Saccharomyces cerevisiae S288C: one gene and its partners. Changing the gene in region 1 together with any one later gene gives a genetic interaction. Each region holds a gene or a part of one and is shown in the gene's direction. Other genes may lie near its edges.

The links. A genetic interaction does not mean that the proteins touch.
Region 2: mutations in SUR1 (region 1) and RUD3 together harm fitness more than expected from each alone (negative genetic interaction), as found in Saccharomyces cerevisiae (6 studies listed by BioGRID, with this or other methods).
Region 3: mutations in SUR1 (region 1) and VPS74 together harm fitness more than expected from each alone (negative genetic interaction), as found in Saccharomyces cerevisiae (5 studies listed by BioGRID, with this or other methods).

What each region holds. Positions count from the first base shown.
Region 1 is NC_001148.4:449,057-454,648, reverse strand, and holds SUR1 (mannosylinositol phosphorylceramide synthase catalytic subunit SUR1), read left to right. Parts: upstream 1-1,591; coding exon 1,592-2,740; downstream 2,741-5,592. Other genes in the region: LGE1 (Lge1p), read left to right, coding at 1-657; LCL1 (Lcl1p), read left to right, coding at 914-1,219; ATP-binding cassette multidrug transporter PDR12, read left to right, coding at 4,272-5,592. UniProt on the Saccharomyces cerevisiae protein: Involved in the synthesis of mannosyl phosphorylinositol ceramide. Catalyzes the addition of mannosyl to phosphorylinositol ceramide. Suppressor of RVS161 mutation.
Region 2 is NC_001147.6:745,842-752,162, reverse strand, and holds RUD3 (Rud3p), read left to right. Parts: upstream 1-3,183; coding exon 3,184-4,638; downstream 4,639-6,321. Other genes in the region: RFC1 (replication factor C subunit 1), read right to left, coding at 277-2,862; AIM41 (Aim41p), read left to right, coding at 4,881-5,438; SPR2 (Spr2p), read left to right, coding at 5,860-6,321. UniProt on the Saccharomyces cerevisiae protein: Involved in the structural organization of the cis-Golgi and in vesicle targeting/fusion stages of ER to Golgi transport.
Region 3 is NC_001136.10:1,219,429-1,225,069, reverse strand, and holds VPS74 (Vps74p), read left to right. Parts: upstream 1-2,920; coding exon 2,921-3,958; downstream 3,959-5,641. Other genes in the region: WIP1 (Wip1p), read right to left, coding at 44-313; PHO92 (mRNA-binding phosphate metabolism regulator), read left to right, coding at 676-1,596; FRQ1 (frequenin), read right to left, coding at 1,739-2,311; CTS2 (putative chitinase), read right to left, coding at 4,122-5,641.

The sequences.
Region 1 (5,592 bases):
GGCAGGACCACGAGCGCCTCGCAAGAAGATAATGACGAAAAAAGAGTCAAGTCCAGATACCGGAACATGCAGGCAGATCATCCACGCCAACAACCGATGAGCGTTGGCAGCACCAGCAGCAGAAATGGTAGTAGTGGGAACAGCAGCACTAGCAGCACCAGCAACGGGCTTCCGCCACCACCTTCAGTATCGTCTATAACCAACAATAGATCATATCACAGCAGTGCTTATCCATATTCCAGCAGCCATACTTACAATAATTACCACCACCGTGAGACACCACCGCCTCCCCCATCGAATGGCTATTATGCAAAGGGTTACCCAGTACACGTACCAGAAAATAGAAGTAACAGCGACGGCTCTAGCAGCAGCGTCGTCAAGAAGAAAAGAATACTAGATATGAAAGATTCCCCCTTTATTTACTTGACAGATTTTGATAAAAATGTGAAAAAGACAAACAACACCGAAAGTGAATGTGAAAAGGCGAGGGAAGTTTTCAAAGAGAGCGATTCCATCGATTCCGCTTTGGAAGAACTAAACCTAAAAATCAATTCTAATGAGCTAGAATTGCGGCTCCTAAATAACCAGTGCGACAAGCATGCATTAAATATTCAACTGACCCAAGAAAAGCTGGACTCATTGTTATTAATGCAGTAGGGTATACCGTACCTATAAATAGATAAACTACGTAAACGCAAGCGGCGGAAATTGAAAAAGGAAATTATAAGGAAGTGACTAGCGTTTTGATTTCATGAATCGAGAAAAGGTACTGCTAGGTTAAGCCCGATTAGGTAAAGAGCCAGGAAAGCGACTAGGAAAGCGACTACGAAAAAAGAAAAAACTGCGAAACTGTGAAAGTGCGTGTCAGCCATCTGTCTTTGGAATCGATTATCTATTTGCTTTGATCCCCTTTATGAAGAACGCAGCATTGTGTGAGGCTCTTCCTCTGCTCGCCACGTGCTCCCACGAAATCCCACCCACACCACACACGGTCTGTTTCGTCTTCCCCCCCGCATTATTACTATCCCCGAGCAAACTCACACTTTTGAATTCGCGTCGCGTCGCGTCGCGCTGCGTCATTATCATTGACCCACGCTTGCTGCGTCTCTTCTCTTGCTCCCGGCCACAACAACTCCCCCGGGATAAAAACCAATCTTTTGCTAAGCCATCTTTTTCTTTTTTTTTCTTTCTTCTTACCTCGTTATTATCGCCTTTCTAAACTTCCTTGGCCAAGCCTTTCAGCGGTGCTTTTTTGTTCTCACGTCCACTGCCAATTTCCACATTTTTTTCCCCTCTTGTTATATATAAACTTTTCTACTTGGAAAAAATGGTTAGAGGAGTGAAGACACAGGGAGGAGGCTTACGCAGATATTTTACGTTTTCTGCTTTTTCTTTTCTAATATAGTTAAATAAAAGGTGCCAACATTCCCGTCATATTTTGCTTCGCATGTTTTGTTTTCTTTAACCTGTTGTAATATTCATCATCGGATTCAAATAAACACATACAAACAAACAATAAATCGGAAGACACTTTTCATTTTCGCATATTTGCTTTACTCTATTTTTCTGATTTTCCGCTGTTGCACTCACGATGAGAAAAGAATTAAAATACCTTATCTGCTTCAACATACTCCTCCTGTTATCTATAATATACTACACTTTCGATTTGCTAACGTTGTGTATTGACGATACTGTTAAAGATGCTATACTTGAGGAAGACTTAAATCCAGATGCACCTCCAAAGCCTCAACTAATACCTAAAATCATACATCAGACTTATAAAACGGAAGACATCCCTGAGCACTGGAAAGAGGGTAGACAAAAATGTCTCGATCTACATCCAGATTACAAGTACATCCTATGGACGGACGAGATGGCCTATGAGTTTATAAAGGAAGAATACCCGTGGTTTCTCGATACTTTTGAGAACTACAAATACCCCATAGAACGTGCCGATGCCATTCGTTACTTTATCCTGTCCCATTATGGTGGTGTATACATCGATTTAGATGACGGCTGCGAAAGGAAACTAGATCCTTTGTTAGCTTTCCCGGCCTTCTTAAGAAAGACTTCACCTTTAGGTGTCTCAAACGATGTCATGGGTTCTGTGCCTAGACATCCCTTCTTTTTAAAGGCTTTAAAGTCTTTGAAACACTATGACAAGTACTGGTTTATCCCTTACATGACTATTATGGGGTCTACTGGTCCGTTGTTTTTAAGTGTTATTTGGAAGCAGTACAAAAGATGGCGCATACCTAAGAACGGGACAGTAAGAATCCTACAACCTGCTTACTACAAGATGCATAGTTATTCATTTTTCTCCATTACTAAAGGCTCTTCATGGCATTTAGATGATGCAAAATTGATGAAAGCACTAGAAAACCACATCTTATCCTGCGTCGTTACCGGATTTATTTTTGGCTTCTTTATCCTATATGGTGAATTCACGTTCTATTGCTGGTTGTGTTCCAAGAATTTCAGTAATCTAACCAAAAATTGGAAACTTAATGCTATAAAAGTAAGATTTGTCACAATTCTAAATTCATTAGGCTTAAGACTAAAGTTGAGTAAAAGTACCAGTGATACTGCCAGTGCCACTTTGCTGGCAAGGCAGCAGAAACGATTGAGGAAAGATTCCAATACAAACATAGTGTTACTAAAATCTTCAAGGAAAAGTGATGTTTACGATTTAGAAAAGAATGATTCTTCTAAGTACTCACTGGGAAATAACAGCTCGTAAGAGAATGGTATGACTCCAACAATTCATATCAGACTTTATATTTCAATTCGCGGCAAAAAAAGCAAAAGAAATGGGAAGGAAAATTGCATGGGATGAAAAAAAAATACAAAATTGATACAAATCTCTAGCAGCCTGAAGACCAGTCTTGTACTTCGCTACTTTGCAAGACAAGGAGTACTATTTGCTCGCTTCTTACGACATACTACTCCGCTTGGCACGCCTGTCTACCTTGCTTTTTTTGCTCGTCATTTTTTTTTTTCGCATGCTCCCTATTTCATGTTACAATTTACGACCTCCAGCATCAACATAATCATTCTTCAAACCAGGCCTGTTTTATTACTGTGATATTACCCTCTATACTACGATATCTTTGTTTTGCATTTTACATTCAACTTTTATATATATATATATAAATATAACCTAAAAGAATATGAACACTTCCTCACAACAAAAACTAGGATAACAACCGTGTGTGGGCGCCGCTCCGGTCAATGCGTGCGTGCTTTTGCGCGCGCCTTATGCTCAGAAACATCGCAACGGAGTAAGAATGTTCTCTTTTCCCTATTGCACAGACTAATTTAGAAATGTAATTACTCGACTAGTAGCCGCTCGAAGAGTGCCATTTACTTTTCCGCGTTTCGGTTTCGGCTTTCAATTGTTTAGTTTAGACTTTCAGGCGCCTGACTACGATTTACCTCATCAGGACTTTCGCGCCGAAAATAGACCTTATATTATTCTGACGATAGTGGCCTCTAAACCAAAGATGGATTGTTTACCAGCCGGCAGGACTCTGTTGATTTGTTTCACCTGTGATGGTGGACGGTTCTTAAAATTCAGGCACCTGTTAATAATATAATTGTGCAAATGCGCGCTTTTTTCGCCGCTCACGGTTCCTAACCTGGTCCCTTACCAACCGGTCCCTTGGTCATTTTACCGCATCCATCTCACAGGGTAACCAAAACCCTTCCTCAGGGCAGCTTGGCAATGGTGCATCTTTCTTTTTATGGCTCATCAGACTGACACCCTGCATCCGTTAAGAGCCGATTCGCCGGAATTTCTCGATTTTTTTCCGTAAAGTGTTTGGGATCTGCTACTTTTTCGATCTTTCGGCTATGGCTCATACAAAACATACACTACAGCCGGTTTTTCTTCACTATTCTTTAGCCACGTCCACCGCAGGGATTCGGTATCACATTTTCTCGACGGTTCTTATGATTATTTCTTACCTTTTAGGCAATTCTATCCTGAATGAAATGTTAATCATATAAATATATCAACAAATCCAATTTTATTAACAACCATGGTACAAGGTAGTTCTCTTTTTGGGGTTCTCTTTATCATATAAAGAAAAGACTAAGAACGATAATAGTATAACAATAGGATAATCTGAAAAATAAACGGGAACGTTAAACAGTTTTATTCTTCAATCAATATATTCTTCTGCTTTTTTTCTCTCTGTTTTCCCAGTTACTAATTTTCACTTAAAAAAAAGGTTTACAGATTTATTGTTATTGTTCTTATTAATAAAAAAATGTCTTCGACTGACGAACATATTGAGAAAGACATTTCGTCGAGATCGAACCATGACGATGATTATGCTAATTCGGTACAATCCTACGCTGCCTCCGAAGGCCAAGTTGATAATGAGGATTTGGCAGCCACTTCTCAGCTATCCCGTCACCTTTCAAACATTCTTTCCAATGAAGAAGGTATTGAAAGGTTGGAGTCTATGGCGAGAGTCATTTCACATAAGACAAAGAAGGAAATGGACTCTTTTGAAATTAATGACTTAGATTTTGATTTGCGCTCACTATTACATTATTTGAGGTCTCGTCAATTGGAACAGGGAATTGAACCTGGTGATTCTGGTATTGCCTTTAAAAACCTAACAGCAGTCGGTGTTGATGCCTCTGCTGCATATGGGCCTAGTGTTGAAGAGATGTTTAGAAATATTGCTAGTATACCGGCACATCTCATAAGTAAATTTACCAAGAAATCTGATGTCCCATTAAGGAATATTATTCAAAATTGTACGGGTGTCGTTGAATCTGGTGAAATGTTATTTGTCGTCGGTAGGCCAGGTGCAGGTTGCTCCACTTTCCTAAAGTGTCTATCTGGTGAAACTTCAGAATTAGTTGATGTACAAGGTGAATTCTCCTATGATGGTCTGGACCAAAGCGAAATGATGTCTAAGTATAAAGGTTACGTTATTTACTGTCCCGAGCTTGATTTCCATTTCCCAAAAATTACTGTGAAGGAAACAATCGATTTTGCCCTAAAATGTAAGACTCCTCGTGTTAGAATTGACAAAATGACGAGAAAGCAATACGTTGATAACATCAGAGATATGTGGTGTACCGTTTTTGGTTTAAGACACACATATGCCACCAAAGTCGGTAACGATTTCGTAAGAGGTGTTTCTGGTGGTGAACGTAAGCGTGTTTCCTTGGTTGAAGCTCAGGCAATGAATGCCTCCATCTACTCTTGGGATAACGCCACAAGAGGTTTGGATGCCTCTACTGCTTTAGAGTTTGCCCAAGCCATTAGAACGGCTACAAATATGGTAAACAACTCTGCTATTGTTGCTATTTACCAAGCTGGTGAAAATATTTATGAATTATTTGATAAAACTACTGTTCTATATAACGGTAGACAGATTTACTTCGGTCCTGCTGATAAAGCTGTTGGATATTTCCAAAGAATGGGTTGGGTTAAACCAAACAGAATGACCTCTGCGGAATTTTTAACATCCGTCACGGTCGATTTTGAAAATAGGACATTGGATATTAAACCTGGCTATGAAGATAAAGTTCCAAAATCTAGTTCAGAGTTTGAGGAATACTGGTTGAACT
Region 2 (6,321 bases), on another chromosome or scaffold:
ATTAATAATATAATAATATGAAGTTTCTCAATTGCAACGCATAATTTTGGAATGACATATTAGGTACAAATGTTAGACCTAATAAATGTAATATTTAACGACGGTTGTACGTACAGGTACATTATTTTGTGTACTATACTAATAAGAGTATTTTATATAGGGCGGTGATGATACCCATCGAGCTATTATCACCACACAGTTTTCGTATCTGTGATAGAACGGCTCACAAAATCAATGAGAAGAAAAGTGTAATTATAATCTTAGTGTATGAATAAATCATGCTTTCGTTTTCCTTTTTTTGCTACCACCAGGTTTACTGGTGGCAGTCTTCCTCTTCGTAGGTTTGGCTTTCTGCTTGATAAGTTTATCCTTCTTCAAGTCTGTGCTACTATCTTGTGTTTCTTCATCATCTGCGGGAACTGGATTGTCATCTGCGTCAACGACATCTTCGAAATCGGGGGTGCTAGTACTGGTGCCAACACCACCACCACCAATAGTACTACCTGTTCTGTAAATTGCGACTGGATGTGTCATACTGTTGTATTTCCGCGTGAATCCACTTTTAACCGTAGCTGGTATCTTTTTGATAATGGCTGTGGTCACATCAGGACCTACGAAAAACTCCATAATAGAATCCCAGTCTTCTTTGGTCAAATAGTAATCGTCCATTACCTCTATGACAGATGAAATTGCATCAGCACCTTGCTTCAAAAATGGGTCCAATAATCTTTTTCTAAAAGTTGGTAGGTAATCCAGCCTTAGTCCAATTTTATCAGTAGATGTACCTAGTCTTGTATGATAATGTATCTCTTGCAGTAACCTATAATATTTGGCAGATTTAGAATTTTGGCCCAACCAAGCTGTGAAATTGATTCTTCCCGCCATATGGCCGGCAACTTTTGATGCTGGATAAACAGATGAAAGAACAGCATGCAAAGGCAAAAGACTCCATAATTGCTCACTACTACGAATCTTCTTTTCGACAATATCACCTAATGAAATACAGTTAGCCGCCTCAGCAACTGCTTCCAAATGTGACTGGCCGGGTTTCAAAACGCTTGGTCTTGTAGATAAATAGTTTTCCTGAATCATTAGGGGTGTGAAATCAAAGTCATCAAAATATAATGCGATCTTATCATTCAGTGTAAAGTTCCTTGAACCTATGTCTGAGTATATTTGTCCATCCAACATTTTATGGGCAATGTCAAAGGGTTTTAGGGCAATATTCTTTTCCCATGCCTTTGAGATCTCGTTGATATTTTCATGGTTTATGGTTTTAGTAGTCGTAGATATCGTTGAAAGTAGATTAATAACCTGGCGGATATCACCTCTTGTAGTCTGTATCAACCTATCAATGACATTTGGATCAAGTTTGAACTTTTCTCTGATCGCAATTGTCATTAATCTTGATTTGATACTGTTAGCATCAGGTCTTCTAAATTGGATATCAAGACATACTCTATCGAATGGTCTCATTTTTGGTAAATTACGTTCATTACAAATTAGAATCAATGGAGTTGACGTCTTACGACAAAACTGTGCCAGCTGGCCAACTCCCCCCCTATCGCCTCCGCTCATACCATCAACTTCATCCATGATAATGACAAAATGTTTCCCGTTCAAATTTTGAGCTTCTTCGTTGTGTTTGAAATATCCCACTACAGACATGTTATCAAGAGCGTTTTTAACACCGGCATTAAGTAAAGTTTTAGAGCGAACATCAGAAGCGTTTTGTTCAAGAATGTCATACCCAAGCTCTTGTGCAACTAAATGAGCAGCAGTTGTCTTCCCAATACCAGGAGGACCGTATAACATTGCAGCCCTGAAAACACCAGAGCCATCTTTACCAGCATGTTTAAAACTATTTTTCTTTGAATTTTCCCAATTAGCCAACCAGTTTTTTAATTTCATTACACTTCCTTTGTTACCACAGACCTGTTGTAGATTCGTTGGTGCGTACTTTACTGTCCACAATTTATCTTCTTCCCTAACCACATTGTCTCTCTCCAGATGGCCACCAGAAACTCTAGTGGCTGCAAGCTTCTTCGACCTTTCCTCTTCTTTCTTAACAAGCAATTCTGCTTCTTTGGTAGCAATATTATGCTGTTCTTCTAATTTTCGACGTGCTTTTTCGGCAGCTTCCCCGTCACCACCTTCAGCAGGCATCCCAGCAATTAATTGCTTAAAGCCTTCTTCGTCTATGGCTTTGATTTTCAATTGCTTGATTTTTTCTAGTTTCTTTGGCCCTGCTTCATCACCTAAGACTACTACAGAAGTTTTGCTTGAAATTGATTTAGTAACCCTTGCTCCGTATCTTTTCGCTAAAGCTTCCGATGCACCACGCTCCAAGGTTGGCAGAACACCTGTGAAGACAATTGTTAGACCTAATAAACAATTTGGCTTTCCTTCTGGAAAACTACCTATTTCAGAAACAATTTCATCTGGATCCGCATTTGAATTTGCGCTTTTGAAATCAAATTTAGCATTCTCTTTCACATGAACATTTGACAGATCCAAGGATGGAATCTTATCTAGTACATCTTGAGCCGTAATATTCGAAGCCGAGTCTGAACTTTTAGAGGAGGGTTTGGTTTTTTTTGAACTTGCTGGCTTTACAGTTGGTGAAGAGGCCTTCCTCTTAGCGGGAAGAGGTAGCTTTTTTTCTCCTTCAGGTGTCTCTGATACATCAATTACATTACTTACAGGCATCTTCTTTGGTGTTTTATTGGTTGATTCTTGGTCAGATTCAGTATCTAAGTCGATAACTTCTGGTTTAGACGAACCCACCTGTCTCGTAGGTCTGGATGTTGACGATCTTACGGATTTCTTATTTTTACCAAAGAAATCAGAAATATTGACCATTTTCTTCAGCTTAGTTTATTATGAAGTGACTTGAAGTTATAAAATTAACTGCGAGATACCCAATTCCTTATTGTGTAAGGATCAAGCAGCGTATTCAACGAAGCCACTGTTTTCGCTGAGAGATCGGCTGTTCCTTCTCATGTTGATTTTTTTTTCAGTACTTCTTTTTGAATTTCGTGCTCATTTCGATACGAAAAATGGAAACAAACAGAAAGACCATTCATGAAGAACAAGAAAATCTTGTATAAACAGCTATATAGTAGATGCTTGTGTATACTTTCCACTTGATCCCCTCAAACAATTGCATTTTTTTTAATTAGAATGGGTAAAAATAAGAAGAAAACAGGTAAGAAGGCCAAGAGTCATCCTCATGTGGAGGACGTTGATGAAACCGTCAATAAACCTGAAGAAATCATCAATTCTGTAAACGTCACCGTTCCTCCAAAAATGTCCACAGATCCAGAGGCTGATGGTATCGTGGCAAGCCCGGACGATGAGGGGAAAGATCTCTCTGAAGGAGTAGACAAACAAAAAGTAAATGACGGCCTGACTGTAGACACCATAAATCCTTTAGAGGACAAAAAGGCTGGTGATGAGATGAAGGAACTAAGGGAAGAAATTGAACGTTTAAAATTGGAACTAAGCCACAAGAAGGATCAAGAAACGCCTAATGAAGACTTCAAAAATGAACTAGCAAATGTTATTAAGGAAAGAGACGAATTCAAAACACAGTATGACACATTATTGAGCAAGATATCTTCTATGAAATCAATTTTTAATAAGATGAAAGAAGCACAAAAACAATTAGAGGAAGTGCAGGAGCAGCTTACTGAATATGAATCACAAAATCTGAAATTGAAGAAGAAACTTGAAGCTACCAAGACCGAAAACTCTGAATTACAATCCACGATTGTGACCCTAAATACAGAGTTAGAAAACCTAGAAAAGGAGCAAGAAAGTACAGAAGAGGTTTTTTTGGAATACGAATCAAGGATAGAAGCTTTGGAAGATGAAAAACACGACATAATTGAAAAACATAGTAAGGAACTTAACACTTACAGGAAGGAAAAAGATCAATTAAATCTCCAAGTTCAGGAACTCATGATAATCTTAGAAAATAATAAACAAGATATATCTGACTTGAGAACAGAAAGAGATGAATTGAGACAGGCTTTGGAATCCCATGAAAAGGAGAAAGCAGTATTAAAGAATTCTCTAAATGATCTGGAATTGAAGATAGAAGAAGTTGACAACAAAAGGGAAGAAGAGGCTAGAGAGAGAGACCAGGAAGTCAAATCTTTACGATCCCAACTTGACACGGAGATAGAAACGCACAACAATGACACAGAAGCTTTAGAAAGCATGAAAAAACAGCTAGAAGCCATGAAGGAGGACGCCTCTATGAAGGAAAAATATGAGGAAGAATCTAAGCAGCACATCTTACAGATCGGAAAACTACGTCACGAAGCCATTATACTAAATGAGCATTTAACAAAGGCACTGGCCATGTTGAAGAAATCAAGCGATTCTGAATCCGTTGATAAAGAACTGATATCCAATCTATTGATATCTTTCGTGTCCATACCCAGAGCAGACCCAAGAAAGTTTGAAGTTCTTGAATTACTGTCCAATTTCTTAAACTGGGATGAAGATAAGAAACAACAGGCCGGCTTGATCTCGAATAATGAGTCTAAGAATTCAAGCGCTGTATCGAGAACGGAAAGCTTTGTATCGCTTTGGACCAACTACCTCGAGAAAGAGAGTGAGAAAGACTAATCGGGCAAACTAAGTCTAGTTCAGAAGAGCATACGTACTTAGTGTAGCATCACCCAATTTATACTCTATAAACGATAAATGATATAAATCACATCTACCCGGCATCTGGGACTTTTCGGGGGGAAGGACTCAAAATTAAAGGGAAGAAAAAGGATCTGCAACATTTTTTACAGAAGTAATGAACTGGAGAAAAAAGACTTTGGGATAAAGTTGGGGAATACAGCAAATAACACTATTCCAAGATGTTCAGACAATCAATTAGGCCACTTGTTTCAAATAGACTAACCTTCATTCGTTATAACAGTTCTCCAGCCTACACGGCTGCAGTCAGCCTATTGAAAGGAGATTTGAAAAAGGCTATGATTGCCAAGGATGAGATGAAGAAGACAGCAATCAGAAATATGTTATCTGCCATAAAAAACAAAGAAATTGCTTTAAAAGGGAAGAGCGCTGATGAGTACTCCCTGTACGACATGTACTCCAAGTTAATATCTCAAAGAAAGGACTCGATCAATGAGTTCCTTGCTAACAAGAGGGACGATCTGGTGGCCAAAGAGCAAGGTGAAATGGACATTATAAAGAAATATATGGACCAATTGCCAGTGTCTTCAGAGCTTGATATTGATCAAAATGTGAAGAAATTACTGGACGCCCTCAAAACAAAGGCAGGTGAAAAAAAAGTTCAAATTAAGGAAATCATGGGAGAAATCGACTGGAAGTCATTGCCAACAGAATGGAAGACATCTCCAACTGCCATCAAAAATAGCATTGTTAAGCAATTCAAGGAAATTTTCAAATGAGGTCCTTGTTTTCTGCGCGATGAATCACAGCCCAACCTTCAATAGTAAAAAAGAAGTAAAAATATTCGTCAAAAATTATGAAAGATACTTTGTTAATACATATCACAGTTACATATTAAAATAAAAAATTAATGCTCGCTTCCTTTCACCTTTTTTTTTTTTTTTGTGGCTACGTTTTTGTGTCCCATGGCAACCATGATATGTCTTGCTAACTGTCATTTGCCCTTTGTTTATAAAAGAGGCCGCTTTTGTATAATGTATAAATTATTCTTTTCCTGAAAGTATTTGTAGTTATCCAAGACAAAAAACCAGCAGCTAACATTGCTACACATAACTAAAGAACAACACCAAGCCAGTAACTAGCACGAAAGGAAGGAAAGTAAAGTTTTGTATCCCATTCTCTTTTTTGATCCTTATTGAAATGTTAGGATTATATCTATCCTCCCTTTTCTTCGCCTTTTTTATGGCACAAGTGTTTGCTACCAAATACTCAATTACTTTTACATCAGATGAGTATGAAGAAGATGAAACAGGACAAAATGAACCTGGTCCTTTAGTTTTCCATTTGGATAAAAACTCATTACCACCAGCTCTGCTAAATCAAATGGAGTTTAATCCATACTTAGTATTAGCAGATTTACCGGAGGAGCCGCGAGCTGTTGATTCTCAAGAACATACCGATACGGTCCTTGCTTCCAAATCTGTTATAGATTTTCTGTTGGAAGATCCTCTAACAATAGTGGAGCACAAAAAGTTTTCTCAAATTGAAAGTATTCTACATGAAATTATGGAAGACAGCATACAGAAGAAAGTCGGGGCAGACGAGGTATTTGAAGAGATTCCGAAACCGAAAATTTACGCGTATGAAGATATTTTAGTAACT
Region 3 (5,641 bases), on another chromosome or scaffold:
ACGAACAAAAGAGTATATGATAAAGAGGCTTAAAAATACCCCTTCATTGACTATCCAGAAAAGCCTGCGTTGCAGCTTCAATATGATAAGGATATACTTCCCTCAAACCTTCTGCAGTTGCCCTTGTTCTAGCATCCAGCAGAATTTTTCTTAAAATGGCCTGAAATCCACATGCCAATAATAATTTCTTGTTATATTCTTGACTAGACTCTTGATCTTCATTTTGCCGTTGGAGAAGATCTTCTAGCTTATTCTCCTCCGCATCTAAACTAAGCTGCCGTAGCAAATAATTGGCCAATGCTTCCGTATCCATGGAAGAATGTTAGGAACTGTTGCTATTGTTGTACTTTGGTTATACGACAGTAAGTAACGTTGACTTGGTGACCGAAAATAGACACGAAATCGCTACCCGTTTCCCCAGAATATCACTCCTCACGATGTACCTCGGCGGCTAATCTTTTTGGTAGCCTTTTGTGATATATATATAAATAAATAAGTATACATACATATATATATATATATATTTATACAGCTACATTGTTTTCCTCCAAAATTTTCTGTTGGTTATGAATCGCAAAAGAAGTTTTCAGATTGTGTCCTCTGTTACTATTTCGTTAAGAAAGGAAGATATCGTCTACGGCTGGTGTGACGTAAGTATTGCGTTGTGCTCTAAAAATGAATCAAATCTGGTCTACAGGTCCCCCAAATTTTTACTTCAACTCTGAATGGAAAGAAAATAAGAGAAATGACAGGACAATTGAAGACTCTTTAAGAGAACTAGATGGGTTGATCCATTCCTTGGAGAGAACTCATATTGAAGTACAAACAAACCCAAAGCTAAAGAACGATGTCACAGCTTTAAATGATATTAACAAGAAAGAAAATAAAGAAGAGATCACTCATGAAAACTATACACACCAGATTAATAGTATTCCATTGACAAGCTCAAATTTAAATCGGCATTTCTCCTTTTCTAGAGACTACAACCAATCTGATAATAGCAATAATAATTATTACAGGGAATATTTATCCAAACCAAGGTATTTGCAGCAGTCAACTAAAGAACAAACTTTCAATGAAATTAATAAAAGAAAAAGTGCTGCAATTATTCCCCCTTGGTTAAATATTCCAGAAAACTCAAGATTTTTTGTAATAAAGTCCTCGTCTTTGAAGCATGTCAAAAGGTCGTTTTACAACGGAATTTGGTCGTCTACTCATTTCGGCAACAAAAGGCTATCTGAGGCATATAAAAAGCTTAATTCGGGAGCCAAAGTGTTTTTATTTTTTTCAATCAACACATCAGGAAGATTCTGTGGCGTTGCAGAAATGGTATCGGATTTGAAAATGGATTTGGACACCAGTATATGGGAAGATGAACAAAAATATGGCAAAGCCTTTAAAGTAAGATGGGTGATCGTGCGTGATATAAATAACAGATCGTTAAAAAGGTTTTTGATACCATCCAATGAAATGAAACCGATAACACATTCCAGAGATACTCAAGAAATTCCATATTCGATTGGAATTTCAATAATTAATCTATTTAAAACTCAAGATTCTGATATTTTCTCCTTCTTGGATGAGACGTATGAATAGACCTTATCCCTCATTTATCAACATTTTATTCTCATTTATTATTAGTATTATTATTATTTTTAATATTATTTTTATTTAAAATTATCCTAAAATTACTTCTACTGTTATAACATCCAATCCATAAGAAGCAAAAACAAAGTTTTCATATTAAGCCATCGTAAAGGTTTAAGGCACCAATAATAGAGGGATCGACTTTAGAACCTTCTCTGAATTCGTCCAGCGTAATGTAACCATCTTCGTTCTTATCCATCAACTTGAAGATCTTCTTTACCCTCATTTCGGGCGTTGCCTCATCCTCATTAAGTGTAACCATAGACCCCATCATTTTATAAACACTCGCCACAATGGTTAGCATTTCATCAAATGTAATATATCCATCATGGTTCAAATCATAAAGTTCGAAAGCCCAGCTCAGTTTTTCCTCCAAAGTTCCTCTGGACGTTGTACTCAAAACTGTGATAAACTCTTCAAAATGTATGAATCCATTGTTGTCTTTATCAAAAACTGTAAAAAGGTGATTAGCAAAATCTTCAGGAGAACCAAATGGAAAAAACTGTTTGTATATCTTAACAAAATCTTCCCTAGCTAGTTGGCCACTAGGGCAATCCCTCAAAAATCCTTTATGCCATTGCTGGATTTCTCTTCTATCAAAATAGGTGGATTGTTTCAAACATGTCAGGTCATCTTTGGAAAGCTTTGACGTCTTGGCTCCCATTTTTTTTTTGAATCAAAAACAGTTTTCAAGCACAAAATAACTCTCGCCGATTCTTAAACTAGCAACAATTATAAAACAGGAGGTAATATCCCTAGTTCATCAGTTCAATCGTTGACAAATTAAACATTATTTCAGTACTCTATGGTATAATAATAAAAAATACACCGAAGAGTTACCCTTTTTTCGTTTTTAATGATCAATTCTGGCTCATTTTTTTACTTCCTGAGCAGTCAACTACTACTGAAAAAAAGAGGCTAATGGGTACGCATTTACCTAAAAACAATTAGATCCCTGCCTTGGATCGTAATCTTGTTTATCTATCCTTTTTGGACATTGACATCTATTTGTGTCGCAGTTAATTGCTTTCTGGGTACGTTGACTTTTTCAGTTCTATATCGGCCCGTTGCTTACTCTGTTCAACTCACTTATTCTTTTGTTTCGGTTTGGGCTGCTGCATTTATAGATTAAAAATAAATTTCAAATTTCCACGCTAACAAATAGAGCTAAATTAGCAGTTTCATTGTTGGCTATATTTTCATTACAACTTTTGATCTGATAACGTAAAAGAATTCAAACAAAAACTATCTAAAAAAATACAAAGCAAAAATCATGTCTACTTTACAACGTCGTAGAGTCAATAGGGCGGATTCTGGAGATACTTCCTCCATTCATTCTTCTGCTAACAATACCAAAGGAGACAAAATCGCAAATATTGCTGTTGACGGGGATGATGACAATGGAACAAACAAAAAGATTGCATATGACCCAGAAGAATCGAAATTGAGAGACAACATCAATATCCCTACGTTAACGTTGATGGAAGAAGTCTTATTGATGGGCTTAAGAGATAGAGAAGGATATTTGTCGTTTTGGAATGATAGTATTTCATATGCTTTGCGTGGTTGTATAATTATAGAATTAGCGTTAAGAGGTAAAATCAGAATCTTAGATGATTCCGCCAGGAAAAGGTTCGATCTTTCCGAAAGGTTGATTGAAGTTATTGACAGTTCCAAAACTGGGGAAGTTTTACTGGATGAAACTTTGCAATTGATGAAAAACGACGAACCTTTGTCAATTTCTAACTGGATTGATCTTTTAAGTGGTGAAACATGGAACCTTTTAAAGATCAACTATCAATTGAAACAAGTAAGGGAAAGATTGGCAAAAGGTTTGGTCGATAAAGGTGTATTGAGAACAGAAATGAAAAATTTCTTTTTGTTTGACATGGCGACACACCCCATTGCAGACGCCAGCTGCAAAGAAGCCATTAAGCGCAGAGTACTTTCTGTACTCGTATCGAGGAACATGGAATTAAGTTACAATGAATATTTTCCGGAGACAACATCTTTCAAAATCATTAGAACTTTAGCTTTAATATGTGGATCATATGGGGCAAACGTATTGGAGAATGTCCTGACTACGTTGGAATATGAGAAGAGAGATAAGGCAATTAGTAGAGCTGAAGAAATAATGGCACAATTTTCGCAATACCCATTTGATTTAGAAAAGGAAACTGAGTTAGGTGTCTCCGTTAATTTAAACAAGGAAGTTAAAGAAGAGATAGAAAACAATCCTGGTCATGATTTACAATTGGAAGTTATTGCTGGTGTATTTGAAGTCTTTTCAAGAATGGATATGCTATTATGAAAATAACAACAAAAATCCTCTCTTTGAAACATAAGGAAAAGTCAAGCTTTTTTTTATAAGCCTCTAACATTAATAAACGAAATTTGTATATATGTATATACATATACGGAGTGGATAATAAATAGACCAAACTTTTTGTTATTATATACGCCCACATTCGTATTCATTGCTTTCTTGAATCCAAATGCTTTAAATATGGAGATAAAAATCCGCCATCGCCATATTTATTCAAGTAATATTTTTTAACTCTCACATCTTGAAATATTGATGGTTTTGATGACACATTAAAGTGCAAGCCTTCATTAAATGCGTTTATCAACGACCTTGACTCATTTGCATAAGCTTCACCACATGACTCCCACCAAAAGCCTCCGCCTAAATTGTTATGTGTCACATATTCAGCCTTAGTTTTGACTGATTTAGTGTTATCATAACTGATAAATATTGAATTTTTTTCATCAAAGCAATATGCTGAAACATATTTTGGATCGTATTGTTCTATTGTACCAATCTTTGGTAAATTTTTGTAAGGCCAGATGCCCTCCTTGCCATCAGCTTTATCTATTTCTTTAGTGGGCTTGCCCACTCCTTTGAAAATTTTGTTAATTAATACAGTATTTTGATTGAATGGTTCGAATTTGTTATCTTTGATATGGAAACTTCTTCCGTAGGCGGCCATTCCCAGTACTAATTTTCTAGAATTGACGCCAAATCTATCGATCATATAATGCATGGCAAAGTTTCCATTCAATTCCGTCTCACTGAATAGATTGCTGTGATATCCTGTTGTTTCTGACCACGAGCCATAATAATCGTACGTCATCATATTCCAGTAGTCAACATATTGATCAATTTCTGTGATTGGCAAGTAAAATAATTTATCCTTGAATGCAGGTGCCGCAATAGATAATTGAAAATGATCTTCAGTACGTTTCCCAAATATTTGGGATTCGAGGCTGTTTAGTTTTAATCGCAGCATTCTGACCAGTTTCAGATATCCGCGAGGTTCTGATTCATTGTTACCAGGGAACTCCCAGTCTAGATCAATGCCATCAAATCCTAATCTGAACATTGTTTCCACCGACGAATCAACAAAATTTTGTAAGAGTTTATCATCTTTAATTATGATTTTGAAATTTTCACTATCAGACCAGCCCCCAATTGACATGATAACTTTAAATTTCTTATCAGAACAGGTATTCTTCAAATAAAATAGTTCACCAATGCAACCTAAGGGTAGGATGTTTTGGACACTATTGTTCGAGCTTTCTTTAATTAGTTCTGAATTTTTAATTGCCAGCGATTTATACAAATTCATTTCTAGATCAGACCAACTATCCGTGTTTTCTATACCACCAGTTCTAGAGTTTATTTTGAAAAATGCATAGTAAATGTGAGACACTTGCTTCAAGTTTATGTCGTGAGGGAAATGAAACCTCGGTTTGTATGGGGACCAATTGGAATAATAGACCCCTGATATAAAGGCTTCGTCTCTTATATGGGTTCCATGATTTTGGACATTACTGGGAACTCGATGTCCGCCATTGTTAAAGTTGTCTCTAATATCATCCGACCTTTGGTTCTTAAAAATTTTATTATATAAACACATTTCAATAATAATCGTTATAAAGATAAGTAGTATTAGTAGGTGAGACACTAAGCTGCTTTTTGATCTGTGCTGAG